Linked DNA regions of Arabidopsis thaliana. The protein of the gene in region 1 interacts with the protein of each later gene in a pairwise test. Each region holds a gene or a part of one and is shown in the gene's direction. Other genes may lie near its edges.

Region 1 (8,624 bases):
TAGTGATGTTTAAATATTTTTGTCCTGTAATGTTGTTTCTTAGATCATTATCTGATTGCATTGTTCATTGTGGTAATTTGCAGTATGTGATGATTGTCTTGAAAGGCTCAGTGCCTATGTCATTTGGCGGGACCGAGGATCCTGCAGCTTATGGTGAATTAGTTTCTATCGGTGGCCTTAATGCGGATGTGAACAAGAAGCTAAGCGCTGCTGTTTCCGCCATTCTTGAGACTAAGCTATCGGTGCCCAAGTCTCGATTCTTCCTCAAGTTTTATGACACCAAGGCAAGCAATTCCCTCTCTCTGATAACTTTTTTGATGTAGTGACATAACATATGCAAATGTGTTAATGATTTCATATGCCCGATATGCGTCCATGTCTCATTTTCATTGTTCGTTGTCTCTCTAGGACCATCAAAGTCAAGAATATGCACAATGTTTACACGCTTTACACCAGCACTACTAGGTCATGAATAGGGAACAAATACATCTTATGTGTGTAAGTTCATCATCATAAGACGGACCTATAACTTTTACTCATAAACTAGGCATTATAAACAATTAAATCAAATGCATAAACCGTTCCACTACTCGAATTCAATCTTTACACCCACACTGTTGAGTTATTTAGGAGATTCGTTCAACTTCTCTAAATCCGTTGTCTAACTGGCTTAGAGGGTCATCCATCATCTGGAGTGTTTATGCCTATAACCACCTGATATATCAATTATACATTTCTTTTCTCGTGTGGTTCTTCTTGCAGGGATCCTTCTTTGGTTGGAACGGGGCGACTCTTTAATTCCGTGGTAGGTGATTAGTGTGATTGTCTTGAAATGTATGATCTACTCTCATCGATCAAGTAACTTTGAACTACTTCGTATTGTAAACATATCTAAGGTTTGATGGAGTTGCATTAAGAAATAACATTTATGCTATATATGATGCTACAACTTACTATCAGGGTAAACAATGGTTATTTAGTCTTTGTCTACTCGTTAGATATAATTATGTTTAGAATTCGAAGATGAATGTTATCAAAGAAAAAAGGATTTGACATTGTCAAGTCTACTACTCCATATGACAGATCAACATTGTGTTAAAAATATTTTCTATTAGGGAAACTTCCTGTGACTGGAACATTAATGGTCAAATGCACTTTGCCTAAGTAATCAAGAATTATTGTATAAACTACGTTAAGCAAAAAAATAACCTGAGTTATAATATCAGGAGGTTATTTTTATTTTTATTTTAGCAAATGAATATAGATTAGCTATCAGATGAAGCAAGGTGTATAATCAAAGTTGAAAGACGCGTAATTGTGATCCTATATATACATAACACTACCGCAACTTCAGCAACCTCTAAATCATTCGTCTCCTAAAATTTTCCAATCTCAAAATCCCAAAAGAACAAAATCGAATGGTGTCAACAAATCCCCCTGTTCTTCCAATTTCCACCACCGCAACAGACACCACCAATCAGCCTCCGATTGTAACCGCTGTGGTGGAATCGCAACCTCCAGTCGTCCGTGCATTTGTCAACGGTGTGACCGAGACGGTCTGTGGTGGTCTATCTCGTAGCCGTCCGTGGTCAGAGCTCCTCGATCGATCCGCTTTCACAAAGCCTGACTCTCTCTCCGAGGCCGGGACGCGATTCCGGAAAAATTCCTCTTATTTCAGGGTGAATTACGTTTGCATTGTCGCTCTGATCCTTGGTTTCTCTCTTCTCGCCCACCCATTCTCTCTCATCCTCCTCCTATGTCTCGCCGCTTCCTGGCTCTTCCTCTACCTCTTCCGTCCATCAGATCGTCCTCTTATCCTCTTCGGCCGATCTTTCTCCGAATACGAAACTCTCGGTGGCCTAATCCTCTCCACGATCGCAGTGATCTTCTTCACAAGCGTCGGATCTGTATTGATATCCGCTCTCATGATCGGAATAGCAACAATCTGTGTCCATGGCGCCTTTAGAGCTCCCGATGATCTCTTCCTCGACGAACAAGATCATGCCGCCTCCGGATTCCTCTCATTCATCGGTGTTCCCGCGATCCCCTCTGTAGCACCCTCTGCCTCCTCAGCGGCTTCCCCCGTGTAAATTATAGTTCTCAGAATCTGGCGTGTTTAGAGATTTGAAGGTGGAGATTGTTGCAATGTAATTTTCTGTGATACTTGACCATTGTTGCAATGTAATTTTCATTGAAGTCAGTCACCAATCACATTGAACAGATGTTTTAAAATGTCCACGTAAGCAATTATTGTTTGGAACGATTTCGGGTTAGCATTCGTGCCGTTAGTTACCGCAATAAAAGGCCGTGGCAATATCACACTTGTCTTGGAACGCTATGTCCGTAAAAACCAAGCCCAAAGTTAAAATAAAACCACGCGTCTCATAATTTCGGCCCAAATCTTTTTCAACTTTCCCGCCTTTGTCAGAACTTTTAACTTTTTGGATTTTTGGTGATGATTTTGGTTTGGGGAAAGAAAATAAAACAATAAAAATAAAAATTCCGCACTCCCGACTCCTCCCTCTTGGCGTGGTAGGCAATTCTGAATCGCGAGGTTTAGTTCTCCGGCTGAATCATATAACGACGAATCGGAAAACTTGGAAACCCTAGAACTGAATAAATGTCGACGTGGCATTTATTTTCCGATTCCAGCGGCGATGGTTTCCGGTGGGAAGTCGCTGGCCGGATTCTTCAGTCCGTCTCGGATTCTACGCCAACCAAGGCGCTCGAATCGACAGCTCCTCTACCTTCCATGGCCGATCTCTTGCTCCAAGGTGATTCTTCGTATCTTCCTTTTCTTTGTCGAATCGTGTTTGTCATGTGACTCAAAGGAGATTGAATTATTATTTGATGCTTCAAGGATGCTCGAAGCTTATAGAACGGGAAGAATCGATGCCTGGGGAAATCCCAATGTTCAGGACTGGGCTGGGGAAGTCTGTAGTTCTTAAAGAGTCTTCGATTGCTAAAGCCAAATCCATTTTAGCAGAGAATGTTGCTTATTCAGGTATTTTATGTGACAGTATTGAATTCCCTTGACTAGTCATTTGTTTCTGAATTCGCTTGAATTGTTACTTAATGTTGGTGAATATGTGTTCCTGAAAATCTTTTGAATGTTCCATGTTCTTGGCTACACTTTTAGATTTGCAGAACACAAATTGCTCAATTCCCCAAACGAGACAAGTGGATACAGCTGAAACTATGCCAATGTTCAGGACGGCCTTGGGGAAAACTGTCCCTTTGAAAGAGTCTTCAATTGCCAAACCTTTGTCTATTCTAGGAAGTGATATGATAATTGACTCAGGTGTGTTCTTATCTCCTCTTTTTTTAAGTCTTATATCCAGCTGTGTGCGCATTTACATATGAACTTGTTGTTTGTGCTGCTACTCCGTTCAACTTCCAGGTTTCTTGAGTTTGGTTGTTATCAGATAAAACGATGAATAGTGAAGAACTAATCAACACACATCTTACTTCGTTTAGAGAATAAATATTAGAAGTGACATTTTTTCATAGTTTATTTGTTAATAAGATTCTTTTTGATTGTGTAGACAACGTTCTTCCCAGGGAGAGTGGGTTTGGTGTTCCCAACAGTCTTTTTCAGACAGCTTCCAACAAAAAGGTTAATGTATCTTCTGCCGGTTTAGCAAGAGCCAAGGCATTGTTAGGACTAGAAGAAGATGATTTGAATGGATTTAACCATGTGAACCAGTCGTCTTCTTCCCTCCAGCAACATGGGTGGTCCGGTTTAAAAACTCATGAGGAGTTTGATGCTACAGTGGTTAAGCATCATTCAGGAACTCCAGGACAATATGAGAATTATGTATCTGGGAAGAGATCTGAAATCTTAAATCCATCGTTAAAGGTGCCTCCAACAAAGTTTCAGACTGCTGGTGGAAAATCATTGTCAGTGTCAGCTGAGGCGTTGAAACGTGCCAGAAACCTTCTTGGTGACCCTGAGTTAGGGTCTTTCTTTGATGATGTAGCTGGAGGTGATCAATTTTTTACACCACAGAAAGATGAAAGGCTAAGTGATATTGCTATAAACAATGGAAGTGTCAACACAGGTTATATTGCTCATGAAGAAAAGACAAGCAACAAACATACGTCAAATAGTTTTGTATCTCCTCTTCATTCATCTTCAAAGCAATTTAGATCAGTTAACTTGGAGAACCTAGCTTCAGGGGGTAATTTGATCAAGAAATTTGATACGGCTGTTGATGAGACCAATTGTGCTCTGAATATCAGTAAACCTGCTACACATGGACTATCAAATAACAGGCCTTTAGCATCAGATATGGCAGTGAATAATTCCAAGGGAAACGGTTTCATTCCAAGAGCTAGGCAACTTGGAAGGCCTGCTGATCAGCCACTTGTTGATATAACAAATCGCAGAGATACAGCTTATGCAAACAATAAACAAGACAGTACCCAAAAGAAAAGGCTGGGAAAGACAGTCTCCGTTTCTCCTTTCAAAAGGCCAAGGATTTCATCCTTTAAAACTCCTTTAAAGAAAAATGCTCAGCAAGCTTCAAGTGGTAATATATACGATTAATTTTAATTTTAATTTTTTGTTAATCTAATTGGTTGGTTCTCAGATTTATAATTTTGGTGTCCTGTCTATTATCAGGTTTGTCTGTTGTATCGTGTGATACACTTACTTCCAAAAAGGTACTTTCTACAAGATATCCAGAAAAGTCTCCAAGAGTATATATCAAGGAGTTTTTTGGAATGCATCCGACAGCTACGACCAGGGTAAAATCTTTTTGTCCCTTTCACCTGTTCCTGCGTTACATAAATTTTTTCTTCATTCACTCAAACACATTTACGAGGTGGTTTTAGATGGATTATGTGCCAGACCATGTCAGAAGAATCAAATCAAGTAATGCAGATAAATATGTATTCTGTGATGAGTCTTCTTCAAACAAGGTTGGAGCTGAAACTTTTCTTCAAATGTTGGCTGAGTCGGGTGCTTCCTTACAACATGCATCCAGAAAGTACTTTCTCTGTCCCTTGAAATGTTAACCGTGTTATATGTTTATTATATCAGAAAAAGTGTGTGACTGTTCGTTTGAAGCTTGCATGTGATTGTCACTCTATTAGATAGACAGTTTGATGTCTATATCTATTAACTTATCTATCACTACATATGCACTAGGTGGGTTACTAATCACTACAGGTGGATAGTCTGGAAACTTGCATGCTACGACATATACTACCCAGCCAAATGCAGAGGAAACTTTCTAACAATCACCAATGTTCTTGAGGAACTAAAATACAGGTTTCCCAGTCTCACAACACAACTCGTTACTTAAACTCATGCAAAGTCTAACATGGTTAATCTTCTTAATAGATATGAGAGAGAGGTCAATCATGGTCATTGCTCTGCAATCAAGAGGATTCTGAGTGGTGATGCTCCAGCTTCTTCAATGATGGTCCTCTGCATATCAGCTATTAATCCAAGGACCGATAATGGTTCTCAGGAAGCACATTGTTCTGATAATTGCAGCAATGTGAAAGTCGAACTCACTGATGGGTGGTATGAAATTGCTACTGCTGTTCTGTTACCTGTTTTCTTGTCTCATTTCCATAGGATTTTTTTTTAAATCACAGGTACTCGATGAATGCTGCTCTGGATGTCGTGCTAACCAAGCAGCTGAATGCTGGCAAATTGTTTGTGGGGCAGAAGCTTCGAGTAAGTTATATTCATGCAAGATATACTTTGTTTTGCAACACAGATTTTGGTTAGATCACTGACTTGCAGCATGCTTACGTTCTTATCTCTTATCTGAAGATCCTCGGGGCAGGACTTTCTGGCTGGGCTACCCCAACATCACCACTTGAGGTTTCCTAGACTTTGCATTTTATAAGATTTTCTGATATCTTCTCAGGTTGGTTTGTTCTTAGAGTTTCGTTCAACCAAACTTTCAGGCAGTGATTTCAAGTACAATCTGTTTGTTGTTGAATATTAATGGGACATACAGAGCTCACTGGGCGGACCGACTAGGCTTCTGTAAGTAGCTTTATGCTGTGGACCTCACTACATCATCTGAGTTCTTATTGCTTTCATATTATTATCTTTCTATTGATCGTTCTTAATCTCTTCCTCAAGGTAAAGAAATTGGTGTCCCTCTGGCTTTCAACTGTATCAAGTGCAATGGGGGTCCAGTGCCTAAAACGCTAGCTGGCATCACACGAATATACCCCATCCTATACAAGGAAAGGTCAATATAAATGTGTGCCTGTTAATGCACTTTGGTCTTCCTTATACTTCTCGCAAAGCATTATATTTTCTTGATGTATACAGGTTAGGTGAAAAGAAGTCAATAGTTCGATCAGAGAGAATAGAAAGTAGAATTATACAGCTGCATAATCAGAGGCAAGTTTCCTTATAACTGTAGAGTAGCAATTTTTAGTAACATTTATGTGATCAATTTAGCACATCACTTTCTAAGAAGTGTCAGATTAACTCATCAAAGCTAGAGACATTTGTTACATACACCAATATTAGGGTTCTAAGTAGTTTTTGGGACAGACAAAGAATCTTTGTATTTATTAGAAAAGCTTCTGGCCTTCTGAATATGGATGGTTTTGCCAACAGAAGAGCCAAAGATTGCAGTTCCTCATGGTTTATTCTCATTCGTACTTTTCTTTCTTTCTTTTTCTATTTTCCGTAGGCGCTCAGCTCTTGTTGAGGGTATTATGTGTGAGTACCAGAGAGGAATTAATGGTGTTCACAGCCAAAACGATACTGACAGCGAAGAAGGAGCCAAGGTCTTTAAGCTGTTAGAGACGGCTGCTGAACCTGAACTTCTTATGGCTGAAATGAGCCTAGAGCAGTTGACATCTTTCACTACATATAAAGCAAAATTTGAGGTAGAATAGTAATTCCCTTTTCTTGATATATTGATTACAGTAATTAACTGCTTCAATCTGAACCTCAGGCAGCCAAGCAAATGCAGATGGAAAAATCAGTGGCAAAAGCTCTGGAAGACGCTGGTTTAGGTGAAAGGAACGTCACCCCATTCATGAGGATTAGGCTTGTTGGCCTGACGAGCTTAAGTAATGAAGGAGAGCACAATCCAAAAGAAGGCATTGTAACAATCTGGGATCCCACGGAGAGACAGGTACATTCAAATGCCTAAATCTGAATGTTTCATGCACAATTTAAAAGAAGGCATTTTTCTAATGGCTTATAAGTTTACACGAACCTTATCCATATGAGCTTATATGGAACGGGGAGTTCCAAATATAAGCTCGTCAGAGTTGCTGTGGACCTCGAATGGACTGAAATGCATATCAAAAAATCGTTACCATCACTGTACTGTTGCATTAAGAGCATCATCGATTAGCTTGTTCAACTTTTTTCTTGTAGATTCTTAAAACAGTTATCATTGTCTACTACTGTGACAGAGAACCGAGCTGACGGAGGGGAAAATATACATAATGAAAGGGCTAGTACCAATGAACTCAGATTCAGAAACACTTTACTTACATGCCAGAGGGTCAAGCTCAAGATGGCAGCCTTTGTCTCCAAAAGATTCTGAAAATTTTCAGTAAGTGGTTTTCTTTAGTAGACACTGGAATCTATCTCATTAATTTGTTCAATTTCCCTGATGATGTTTTCAGGCCTTTTTTCAACCCTCGTAAACCAATCTCTTTGTCAAATCTTGGTGAAATTCCTCTGTCAAGGTTAATCTCAGTAGTCCAAGCTTTTTATAAAACACTATTTACCGCACTTTGCTAATCTATACTCTATCATCTCTAATTATGTCCTTCAGTGAATTTGATATCGCTGCGTACGTTGTATATGTTGGAGATGCATACACAGATGTTCTACAAAAGAAGCAGTGGGTGTTTGTGACAGATGGATCCACACAACATTCAGGGGAAATCTCAAACAGTCTTCTTGCTATAAGCTTCAGCACCCCATTCATGGATGATAGCTCTGTTTCCCACATCAGCCATAATTTGGTTGGATCCGTGGTATGTACAAATTCTAATATTTGTCTAGTTTTACACTGAGAGAATATGCACCGAGAAATTATTGTTTGAAAAATATATGCTTTGTGGGCTTAATTTTTGGCAGGTCGGATTTTGCAATCTAATTAAAAGAGCAAAGGATGCGACAAACGAAATGTGGGTTGCTGAGACAACAGAGAACTCAGTCTACTTCATAAACGCAGAAGCTGCCTACTCTTCTCACCTTAAAACCCGCAGTGCCCATATCCAAACATGGGCTAAGCTCTATTCTTCCAAATCCGTTCGTTCTCGTCGACTTCCTCTTTCTATAAGTATTCGGTTCAAAAAGATTGTTCTATTGTATTAAGCCTTCTTGGTTTGCTCAATTTTCAGGTCATCCATGAACTTCGGCAAAGAGTCCTATTTATAATCGGTGCTTGTAAATCACCTTCATGCTGAAGATAAATCATACACCACCTCTTCTCTTTTTTTTTTTTTTTTCACAACACCATTTCTCTTAAGTTTTTGTTTATAAATCTAGCCCTCTGCTGATTGTATCTATTAAAGCCCATTTTGCTACATCAATTTCGTACAAAATAAAAAATCTTTACATTTTGCTAAGTTAAGCTCATGACGCCTGACTATAGGCAAGGGATGTAACAAATTTG
Region 2 (4,657 bases), about 18 Mb from region 1:
AGAACATAACATGACTTGAAACGTTTTCACACACACACACAAGTATTGACATTTGATGTTTGTTTCTTTCACGAGGAGAATCTGTCGCGATCATGAGGCGAAGAGTAGTCGATATTGGGGCCGTGAGGGATGATCCCGAATGGGTTTATCGTAGGGTGGCTTCCGTAGTAATGTTGCTTAATGTGTTCCATGTTTACGGTGCTACTCATGCCGTGTATTTGGTAAATGTCTTTTATGTAGTTGAAGATATTCGGGTACTCCCGTAAGAGTCTCTTGTTGCATTTGAAGTGAACTGCATAAACCTGGAACGCAGAAAAAGATGATGTCAAGAACCTGATGGATTTTCTATTTGGAAACAAAGAAGACAAGTTGACTCATATACCTCATCAAATCTTATGAGAGTGACGAATAATCGGATATCTGCTTCAGTGAAAGTGTTTCCGCAGATGTATCGTTGTTTTCCGAGTACTTCCTCACATCTATCTACTGCTTCATATAACTGGTTCACTGCCTGGAGAGAAAAGGGATCAATTTTTGAATCCCTGTTCAAATGTTTAAGACATTGAGGGATATATACCTCATTATAGGGTTCTTGTTTCCTTGCAAACCCACATTTATAAACACCGTTGTTTATTCCGTTGAAAACCCATCCGTTAGTCTCGTTGATTACGTCTCTGAGATGAGAAGGATAAAGGTCAAGTGACGGGGTTTTCGCAATACCATTGAACTCAGTGTTGAACATCCGGATTATCTCTGAACTCTCATTGTTAACAACAGTCTTAAGCTTCTTATCCCAAAGAACCTAACATAATAACAAAACAAACATTCAAGAAACAGGACAAAGAAAGATTAAAGAGTTCACCAAAGAGATCAAAACTTACAGGAACAGTGTACTTCCCTTCATAGTTTGGGCTAGCAATCTCGTAGAGTTCTCTCACACTTTTGGCACCATTAAGATAGTCAGGCTCAGCTCCAGGGAGCTCGGTATCCGAATCCGGGAAAACCCATCCTCTATGATCATCAGTTTCCTTGGTTCTTCCCCAAATGGCATGAACCGACTAATCAAATCAAATAAAACAGAAATGCTTCAGGTTAACAAAGTCTTCTAATTCGATATGAGCAATGAATTTGTACTAACCGAGAAGGTGATTGCTTCATCAAGTCCTTTGATCTTTAAGTAAGAAAGACATCTACAAGCCCATGGACAAGCATAAGATATGTAAAGATGGTATCTTCCTGATTCAGCTGGAAACTGAGAATCAGGATCTTGTGAAACAAAGTTGCGGAATGTTGATGCTGTTCTTACAAAAGCTCCAGATTCTGATGTCTCATCAACCCCAGACCTAGCCATTTTGCTACTAATAAAAAATCAAACACGAAAATTCACATGACAAACGAAAAGAATAAAAATTTCAGAATGCACAATTTTTCTTTTTCACCTCAATAGAGTGAGTAAAGTTGAAAACTTTGAGAGATTTCTTATAGATGGTCACTTGTCACATAATCAATCTCAATTTTCTCTAGGTAAAGGATCACAGGAAACGAATCAAAGCATCAAAAAGTTCAGAAATTTCGAGTAGGGTTTTACTTAATTATCTCATTAGAGCTAGAAAAAGGTTAAAATAAAATGTTCATAATTCATAGCCTTCAAATATGATTTTCAACATTTATGGATCATTGGGCCAAAATCAAACCCAGAACTCAGAAAATGTCTAACAAGAACATGATTCATGCAGAGAAGAAGATAAGAGACAAAACCTGTTGACGACGATGTTATGTATTTGGCGTCGAATGTCGCTGTTTTGTGGCGATAAGGTTAAAGAAGAAAAAGTGAGCTTTAAGGAAAAATGGTAATGAGGGATGTCATCTTATAGTGAAAGAGAAGGAATCCGAAAAAGGACTTTGCTTTGTCTTCACTGCTCTGTCACGCCTAGCGAGTTAACTCAGACTAACGAGTTGACTCAGCTGGGTTCTGTGGGGAAAGCGTGACAACTTTTGGACCGGTTTGTATGTCATGGATTTGGTCAAGACGAATGCGACTATTGGACCGGTCTAAAACAGCTTCTTTTAAACCTCAATCGGATATTTTTAATATTGGGTCGGATTCGGTATGAATCATATAAGATTCGGGTCGGATTCGGTATGAATCATATAAGATTCGGGTCGGTTATTGGAAATTGGTAATTTTCCCCTTCTTCAAGTTAGACCCAAAACGAAAAAAAGGTTCGTTTAAAGAGCTCTGGTTGGGTTTAACTTGGAGGAATTAATCGAGTTTGGTGATCTTCTTCTTAGGTTTTTTTCTCGATCTGGTTGATTTGCTTAAACATCTGTAACTATGGCGGCAGAACCCAAGGCAGCTGTCGAAGTGGTGAAGGTGGATCTATTCGAGGACGACGATGAGTTCGAGGAATTTGAAATCAACGAAGGTGATTTTTTTGTTTTATACTAATTGCTTCTTTGATTTTCGAAATTGATTCATCATCGGTTATAAAATTAATGGAGATAAGAGCAAATTTCATTAGCAACTGATTTGGTGATTGATTAGGTTTTGGTATAAATACAAATTTTGATTCTGCACTGTCTTATACAAACTAAGATAGTCTCTATTGTATGAAGTTGGGTAGTTCTGATGCGAAAACGGATCTGTTTGATATATGTTTATGATGATGAAGCTACGGTCTCATAAACTTGATGGATAATAGTGCAGTTTTATGAGCAAACTACTGGTGATTATGTTTGCATTATTAATCGGCAAGGCTTCATGAGCTAAAGGGCCTAAAGGTTATGGTGGATTTAGGAATTATTTGGGGGCATTGAGTAGCTTGGGGGAGAGTTGTACAATTCAACTTAAGCTAGGATCAGTTTCTGATTTTAACAGATTTTGCTTTGCAATGTTAGTTCAGTCTTGAGATTTAACAAATAGCTTTATTGAAAGAATTGATAAAGATGGATATTTTTATTGTTATGTTTGGCAGATTGGTTGGAGAAAGAGGAAGTGAAGGAAGTTAGCCTGCAGTGGGAAGATGACTGGGATGATGATGATGTCAGTGACGACTTCTCGCGTCAGTTAAAGAAGGAGCTTGAGAATGCTAGTGAGAAGAAATGAGGTCCAAGATTGCGAGAAAGGCAGGTCTTCTCATTTAGGGAACCTTGGCTTTTTTGTTTGAATTGCATCCTTTGGTTTATCGTAGCATGTATCGGTTCTCCTTTTCCTTTACACATTATACTCTTCCTTGGATGCAAATTTCTCGTCTTTGAAGATGATAAATTTGAGCTGATAGTAATTCTATTCTGATAATCACCATCTTCTCTCAACACAGTGCGGTGTGGACATGGATTGGTTTACTATGTACATCACAAAATAACCGTAGAGATAACATTCAAATAGACATAGCTGATGTGCGTCACAACATTACATATAGTGTTAGCGTCCACAAGCCAGAAGCGAGAAAACATCATTTTGTTTCTAATATTAACATAAAATCTTGTGCAAGACAACAACCAAAAACGGAAAGCCTAATAACAACTTACCAATTTTCAAAAAGTTCACATCAGGCATAGGCATAGGGTATATGAAGACAGCAAAGATAAATGTAGCAGTCAAAGCCCTCAAGAAAACTTCTCCAATACCTAATTTTCTTCTTCTTCTTCTTCTTTGGAGAGTTTGGTAGTAATCTTGTAACCTCTTTAACAATGGCACCGACAAGAGCAAATTCGTTCCTGCAAAATGAGTGAAAGAAACTGATTAGACGACCTTACCACAAAGTCGATCTTACTACAAAACAAGAGTTCTATTAAATATTCTATTACATGTGTGCTTCCAAGCTCAAGCCAATCCTCCCTGTAACAGTAGATGACTTCAAGGATTTTTCCCAACTTTCAACCATCATTGGTTCCATAGCAAATCTCTCTTTTGTGTTTCTAAAATGTATTCCAAACTCTCCCTCAAGTCTTCTCACTTCGTTTGTTTTCACACTGTAGAAGACTGGAATGACCACGAGTTTTCCTTCCTTGGCAAGCTCTTCCATCTTCACAAGCTCGTTCAAACACCGATATGACTCAGAATACCTCTTTGAGAAGATGGCAAGCGCGATATTCGAGTTCTCTATACTCATGAACACTTCTTGTTTTTGTCCACTTCCTATAAGCTTGAAGCTGTCTTTGAAGACATTGATCCCTGAGTCTCTCAAAGCCCACACGAGATGTTTAATAAAGTTGTCGCCAAGCTCGTCATTGCAGAAATTGACAAACACTTGTGGGCGACGTGTTGGTAGTCGGTCTAGCTCTGCCATTAGAGGCTCAAAAGATTGACCTGAAACACACACAAAAACAAAACTATTAGTACAACTTTTCAAAACTCAAATCATACTTCACAAGCAATATAACACACAATTATAATCTAAAAGACAACCTTTTATGTTAGTGGAATTTTGAGAATTGTTTCTGTCCTTTCTTGAAACATCGATTAGCACTTTCTTCACCTCCTTAACGATTGAGTCAACCAATTCAGACTCATCCCTACCATTACCAATGAGAAATGTACTAAAATGTTTAATAAATGTCTCGATATCTCTTTCTTCTCGTTCAAGCTATACACAATGACTCGGAACCCTAACTGCAAAATTCGAAATGAATTGTAATATAATACCTGTGTCCT
Region 3 (4,266 bases), on another chromosome or scaffold:
GGGTTGATTTTCAATGTCTGGTGAAATCTGTGTTGTCTGATTATGAAATCAAATATCTTTTAACACTACTGTCAAATGCAGAACCTGTTTCCACTAAAATGTATTTATATCTATAAAAGTCAAATCTTTTAACAGTACTGTCAAAATGCAGAACATGTTTAGAGAAAAATGTGTTTACATGTCTCAGTGAAGCTAATCACTTGTGGATGTGTTTCAGGTTTGTAGCTGTTGGGAATGAGCCATTCCTCAAATCATACAATGGATCGTTCATAAACCTCACATTCCCTGCACTTGCGAACATTCAAAACGCTTTAAATGAAGCCGGACTAGGAAACTCTGTCAAAGCAACAGTCCCTTTAAACGCGGATGTATACGATTCACCAGCAAGCAATCCCGTTCCATCTGCAGGAAGATTCCGTCCCGATATCATCGGTCAAATGACTCAGATTGTTGACTTTCTTGGCAAGAACAATGCTCCCATCACAATTAACATCTACCCTTTCTTAAGTCTCTATGGGAATGATGATTTCCCACTCAACTACGCCTTCTTCGATGGTGCTGAACCGATAAACGACAACGGTATTGATTATACAAACGTTTTCGATGCCAATTTCGATACTTTGGTGTCGTCTTTGAAAGCTGTTGGTCACGGAGATATGCCAATAATCGTTGGAGAAGTTGGTTGGCCAACAGAGGGTGACAAACACGCTAATGCAGGTTGATATCTGACCTTCTTTAGATGGATTTTTATCCTTTATGAAGTGTTTTAGTTTTGATTTTGAAAACGGTTTTTTCACAGGCAGTGCTTACAGATTCTACAACGGGCTTTTACCGAGGCTTGGAACAAACAAAGGAACTCCATTGAGACCAACCTACATTGAGGTATACTTGTTCGGATTACTCGACGAGGATGCAAAAAGTATAGCACCGGGACCGTTCGAACGCCATTGGGGAATATTTAAATTCGACGGGCAACCAAAGTTTCCTATAGATCTTTCAGGTCAAGGACAGAGTAAGTTCTTGATTGGTGCACAAAACGTGCCGTATCTACCCAACAAGTGGTGTACGTTTAATCCAGAAGCCAAGGACTTGACAAAACTCGCGGCTAATATAGATTACGCCTGCACTTTCTCTGATTGCACGGCGCTTGGATACGGATCTTCTTGCAATACTCTTGATGCAAATGGAAACGCGTCGTATGCGTTTAACATGTTCTTTCAAGTGAAGAATCAAGATGAGAGTGCTTGCTATTTTCAAGGTTTGGCCACCATTACAACGCAGAATATATCTCAAGGACAATGCAATTTCCCTATTCAGATTGTGGCTTCCTCAGCCTCTTCTTTTTCTTGTTCGTCTTATTCTTTGGTTGTGTTGATCGTTTGGTTTCTGTTATCAGGGATGATGTTTTGAGGTTAGATTGAATTTGTTGAACTTAGTGAGGTTTTGTGAGCCTAATTGTTTTCTTACAGATATATATATTACAATGATTCTTTTGTCCATGTTCTTAGAAGTTGAATCCTAGATAAATCGGAATATCCAGATACTTGTTCTATCGATATTTTAATACAGTTTTACACTACAGTTTTATTTTACAAATTCATTAATGTTACAATTTCTTTTAGCAATTAAAAAATAAATAGAAAACCATCAAATTTTACAAATTCACAAAAAGGAAAACACGGTCGAACCGGTTCTATACAAAAAGAAAAAACCTTCCCTTTATTATTTGCTTCTTCTCTTAAGAAAAACAAAAGTTCGCTTACTCTCTCGTTAAAGCTCTCAGAGAGGTTAGGGTTTCATCATTATCAATTCCATGCTTTTGCAATAATAACTTGGAAAATTTTATCGAGTTTTCGTCTTCCTCTTCTTCTTCTTAGGTTATCTCGATCTGGTTGGTTCCTTTAACAATCTGTAACTATGGCGGCAGAACCGAAGGCAGCGACTGCTGAAGTAGTAAAGATGGATCTGTTTGAGGACGACGATGAGTTCGAGGAATTTGAAATTAACGAAGGTAAAATTTTTGTTGTTATTACTTGTTTCTTCTTCGATTTTTGAATCGATTCATCATCGGTTTTATAGTCTTAACGATGAAGCTACGATGCCATAGATATAAGAGCGATTTTCATTAGCAACTGATTGATAGATACAGGCAATGCTTTATATGGTTGAATTGAGAATTATTTGTATGAATTGTATCAGATTCTGATTTTAATAGATTTTGATTTGCAAGTTAGTTGATTCTTCAGATTTAACTAGTAGTTGTATTGAAAGGATTGATAAAGATGGACTAGTGTATGAGTTGAGTAGGTCTGATATGAAAACGAATCTGTTTGATGTCAATTTCAGGTGTGAGATAGGTTGATAGATCTTTTTTCATATAGTTCTAACAATGAAGCTATAGTCTCATACTTACTAAATGGATAAAAGAGCAGTTTTTTTCAGCAACTTATTGATGATTAGGTTTAGTCTTAATAGTCAACGCTTCATTTACTAAAGCCTAAAGGTTATTGAGGATTTGGGAATTATTTGAGGGCATTGAGTAGCCTAAAGGTTTAACAGATTTTGCTTTGTGATTTTACTAATAGTTTTATTGAAAGAATTGATAAAGAGGGTTTCTGTTTGTATGAGTTGTGTAGTTGGATGTGGAATGGATGTTTTTGCTGTCCTTTTACGGTCAAAGTAAATACTGATGGATCTTTTTATGTTGGGCAGATTGGTTGGAGAAAGAAGAAGTGAAGGAAGTTAGCCAGCAGTGGGAAGATGACTGGGATGATGATGATGTCAATGACGACTTCTCACGTCAGTTAAGGAAGGAGCTTGAGAATGGTACTGACAAGAAATAAGGTCGAAGATTGTGAAAGACAGGTCTTCACATTTAGGAAATCTTGGTTTTCTTTTATGATCTGGAACTTTGTTTGTACTGCATCCTTTGGTTTATGTTATCGGTTCTGCTTTTCCTTTGCACATTTTACTATTCCCTGGATGGAAATTTCTTATCTTTGAAGATGATAAATTTAAACTGGTAAGATCATCATCTTCTCTCAACATCCATTGCGGTGTGTTCCGTATGGACATGGATTAGTTACTAACTTACTATGTACATTTTCTTACAAGGATCTTTATTAGAGCGTAAACGGTATTTGAAATGCCAAAAATCCTTCAAACTATGTATTGAGATGCACTAGAAATGCAATCCTTTAGTAAACACAAATGAGAAATAAAAGGGGAGAGACCCGTAAACATCACAAAATAACTGTAGAGATCACATTCACAAAGACATAATTACTGTACTTCACAAGAAAGAAACAAGGGAACACACACTCTTGTGTCTTTCTAATACTCATCGCCTTCTTCGTCGTCGTCCTCCGCTCCTTCTCCACCAACTTCCTCATAATCTTTCTCGAGGGCAGCAAGATCCTCACGAGCCTCAGAGAACTCTCCTTCTTCCATACCCTCTCCTACATACCAATGGACAAAGGCTCTTTTGGAGTACATGAGATCAAACTTATGGTCTATACGTGAGAACACTTCAGCAACTGCAGTATTATTGCTGATCATGCAAACCGCTCGTTGAACCTTAGCCAGGTCACCACCTGGAACAACGGAAGGCGGCTGGTAGTTTATCCCGCACTTGAATCCAGTTGGGCACCTAATTTTAACATGACCAAAGATTTGAAATGTGTAGTAGAAGGAGACTTAAGAGAGAAAGAAACACTAGTAGTGTGAGCTCTTTACCAGTCAACAAACTGAATTGTTCGTTTGGCTTTGATGGCAGCAACGGCTGTATTGACATCCTTGGGCACAACGTCACCACGATACATCAAACAGCAAGCCATGTACTTGCCATGCCTAGGGTCACATTTAGCCATCATATTGGAGGGTTCAAAGACGGAAGTCGTGATCTCAGGGACCGAAAACTGCTCATGGTAGGCCTTTGCAGATGAAATCACAGGTGCATAAGAGGAGAGCATGAAGTGGATCCGAGGGTAAGGTACAAGGTTGGTCTGGAACTCGGTGATGTCCACATTGATGGCACCGTCAAATCTTAGAGAAGTTGTAAGCGAAGAGATGGTTTGGGAGATCAAGCGGTTCAAATTGGAGTATGTAGGCCTCTCAATGTCTAAAGATCTCCTGCAGATATCGTATATGGCTTCATTGTCCAAAAGAACAACAACATCTGTGTGTTCGAGAAGAGAATGAGTCGAGAGAACACTGTTATACGGCTCCACAACTGCTGTAGAAACCTGAGACCAAGAAAAGAGTTTG

What was found. The genes of interacting proteins can lie anywhere in the genome.
Region 2: the proteins of BRCA2B (region 1) and DSS1(V) interact in a two-hybrid assay, tested with the Arabidopsis thaliana proteins (one study listed by BioGRID).
Region 3: the proteins of BRCA2B (region 1) and DSS1(I) interact in a two-hybrid assay, tested with the Arabidopsis thaliana proteins (one study listed by BioGRID).

Annotation. Positions count from the first base shown.
Region 1 is NC_003076.8:234,908-243,531, reverse strand, and holds the start of BRCA2B (BRCA2-like B), read left to right. Parts: upstream 1-2,425; 5' UTR 2,426-2,620; coding exon 2,621-2,774; intron 2,775-2,860; coding exon 2,861-3,004; intron 3,005-3,139; coding exon 3,140-3,301; intron 3,302-3,545; coding exon 3,546-4,532; intron 4,533-4,624; coding exon 4,625-4,749; intron 4,750-4,836; coding exon 4,837-4,991; intron 4,992-5,152; coding exon 5,153-5,275; intron 5,276-5,347; coding exon 5,348-5,533; intron 5,534-5,607; coding exon 5,608-5,689; intron 5,690-5,788; coding exon 5,789-5,839; intron 5,840-5,925; coding exon 5,926-6,007; intron 6,008-6,106; coding exon 6,107-6,218; intron 6,219-6,301; coding exon 6,302-6,373; intron 6,374-6,671; coding exon 6,672-6,870; intron 6,871-6,938; coding exon 6,939-7,121; intron 7,122-7,407; coding exon 7,408-7,550; intron 7,551-7,623; coding exon 7,624-7,686; intron 7,687-7,775; coding exon 7,776-7,980; intron 7,981-8,083; coding exon 8,084-8,257; intron 8,258-8,349; and 2 more. Other genes in the region: AT5G01650 (Tautomerase/MIF superfamily protein), read left to right, coding at 84-284, 409-465; PRA1.B5 (prenylated RAB acceptor 1.B5), read left to right, coding at 1,419-2,090. UniProt on the Arabidopsis thaliana protein: Involved in double-strand break repair and/or homologous recombination by mediating RAD51- and DMC1-facilitated DNA repair. Plays an essential role in both somatic and meiotic homologous recombination.
Region 2 is NC_003076.8:18,165,900-18,170,556, reverse strand, and holds DSS1(V) (DSS1 homolog on chromosome V), read left to right. Parts: upstream 1-2,173; 5' UTR 2,174-2,335; coding exon 2,336-2,426; intron 2,427-2,975; coding exon 2,976-3,106; 3' UTR 3,107-3,551; downstream 3,552-4,657. Other genes in the region: AT5G45020 (Glutathione S-transferase family protein), read right to left, coding at 69-302, 383-511, 578-802, 882-1,058, 1,139-1,351; AT5G45000 (Disease resistance protein (TIR-NBS-LRR class) family), read right to left, coding at 3,552-3,720, 3,811-4,312, 4,412-4,518, 4,649-4,657. UniProt on the Arabidopsis thaliana protein: Subunit of the 26S proteasome which plays a role in ubiquitin-dependent proteolysis. Also associates with the TREX-2 complex that is required for transcription-coupled mRNA export.
Region 3 is NC_003070.9:24,051,364-24,055,629, reverse strand, and holds DSS1(I) (deletion of SUV3 suppressor 1(I)), read left to right. Parts: upstream 1-1,721; 5' UTR 1,722-1,787; exon of another isoform or gene 1,788-1,877; 5' UTR 1,878-1,917; coding exon 1,918-2,011; intron 2,012-2,234; coding exon 2,235-2,357; intron 2,358-2,712; coding exon 2,713-2,843; 3' UTR 2,844-3,268; downstream 3,269-4,266. Other genes in the region: AT1G64760 (O-Glycosyl hydrolases family 17 protein), read left to right, coding at 218-717, 800-1,410; TUA1 (alpha-1 tubulin), read right to left, coding at 3,334-3,649, 3,736-4,244. UniProt on the Arabidopsis thaliana protein: Subunit of the 26S proteasome which plays a role in ubiquitin-dependent proteolysis.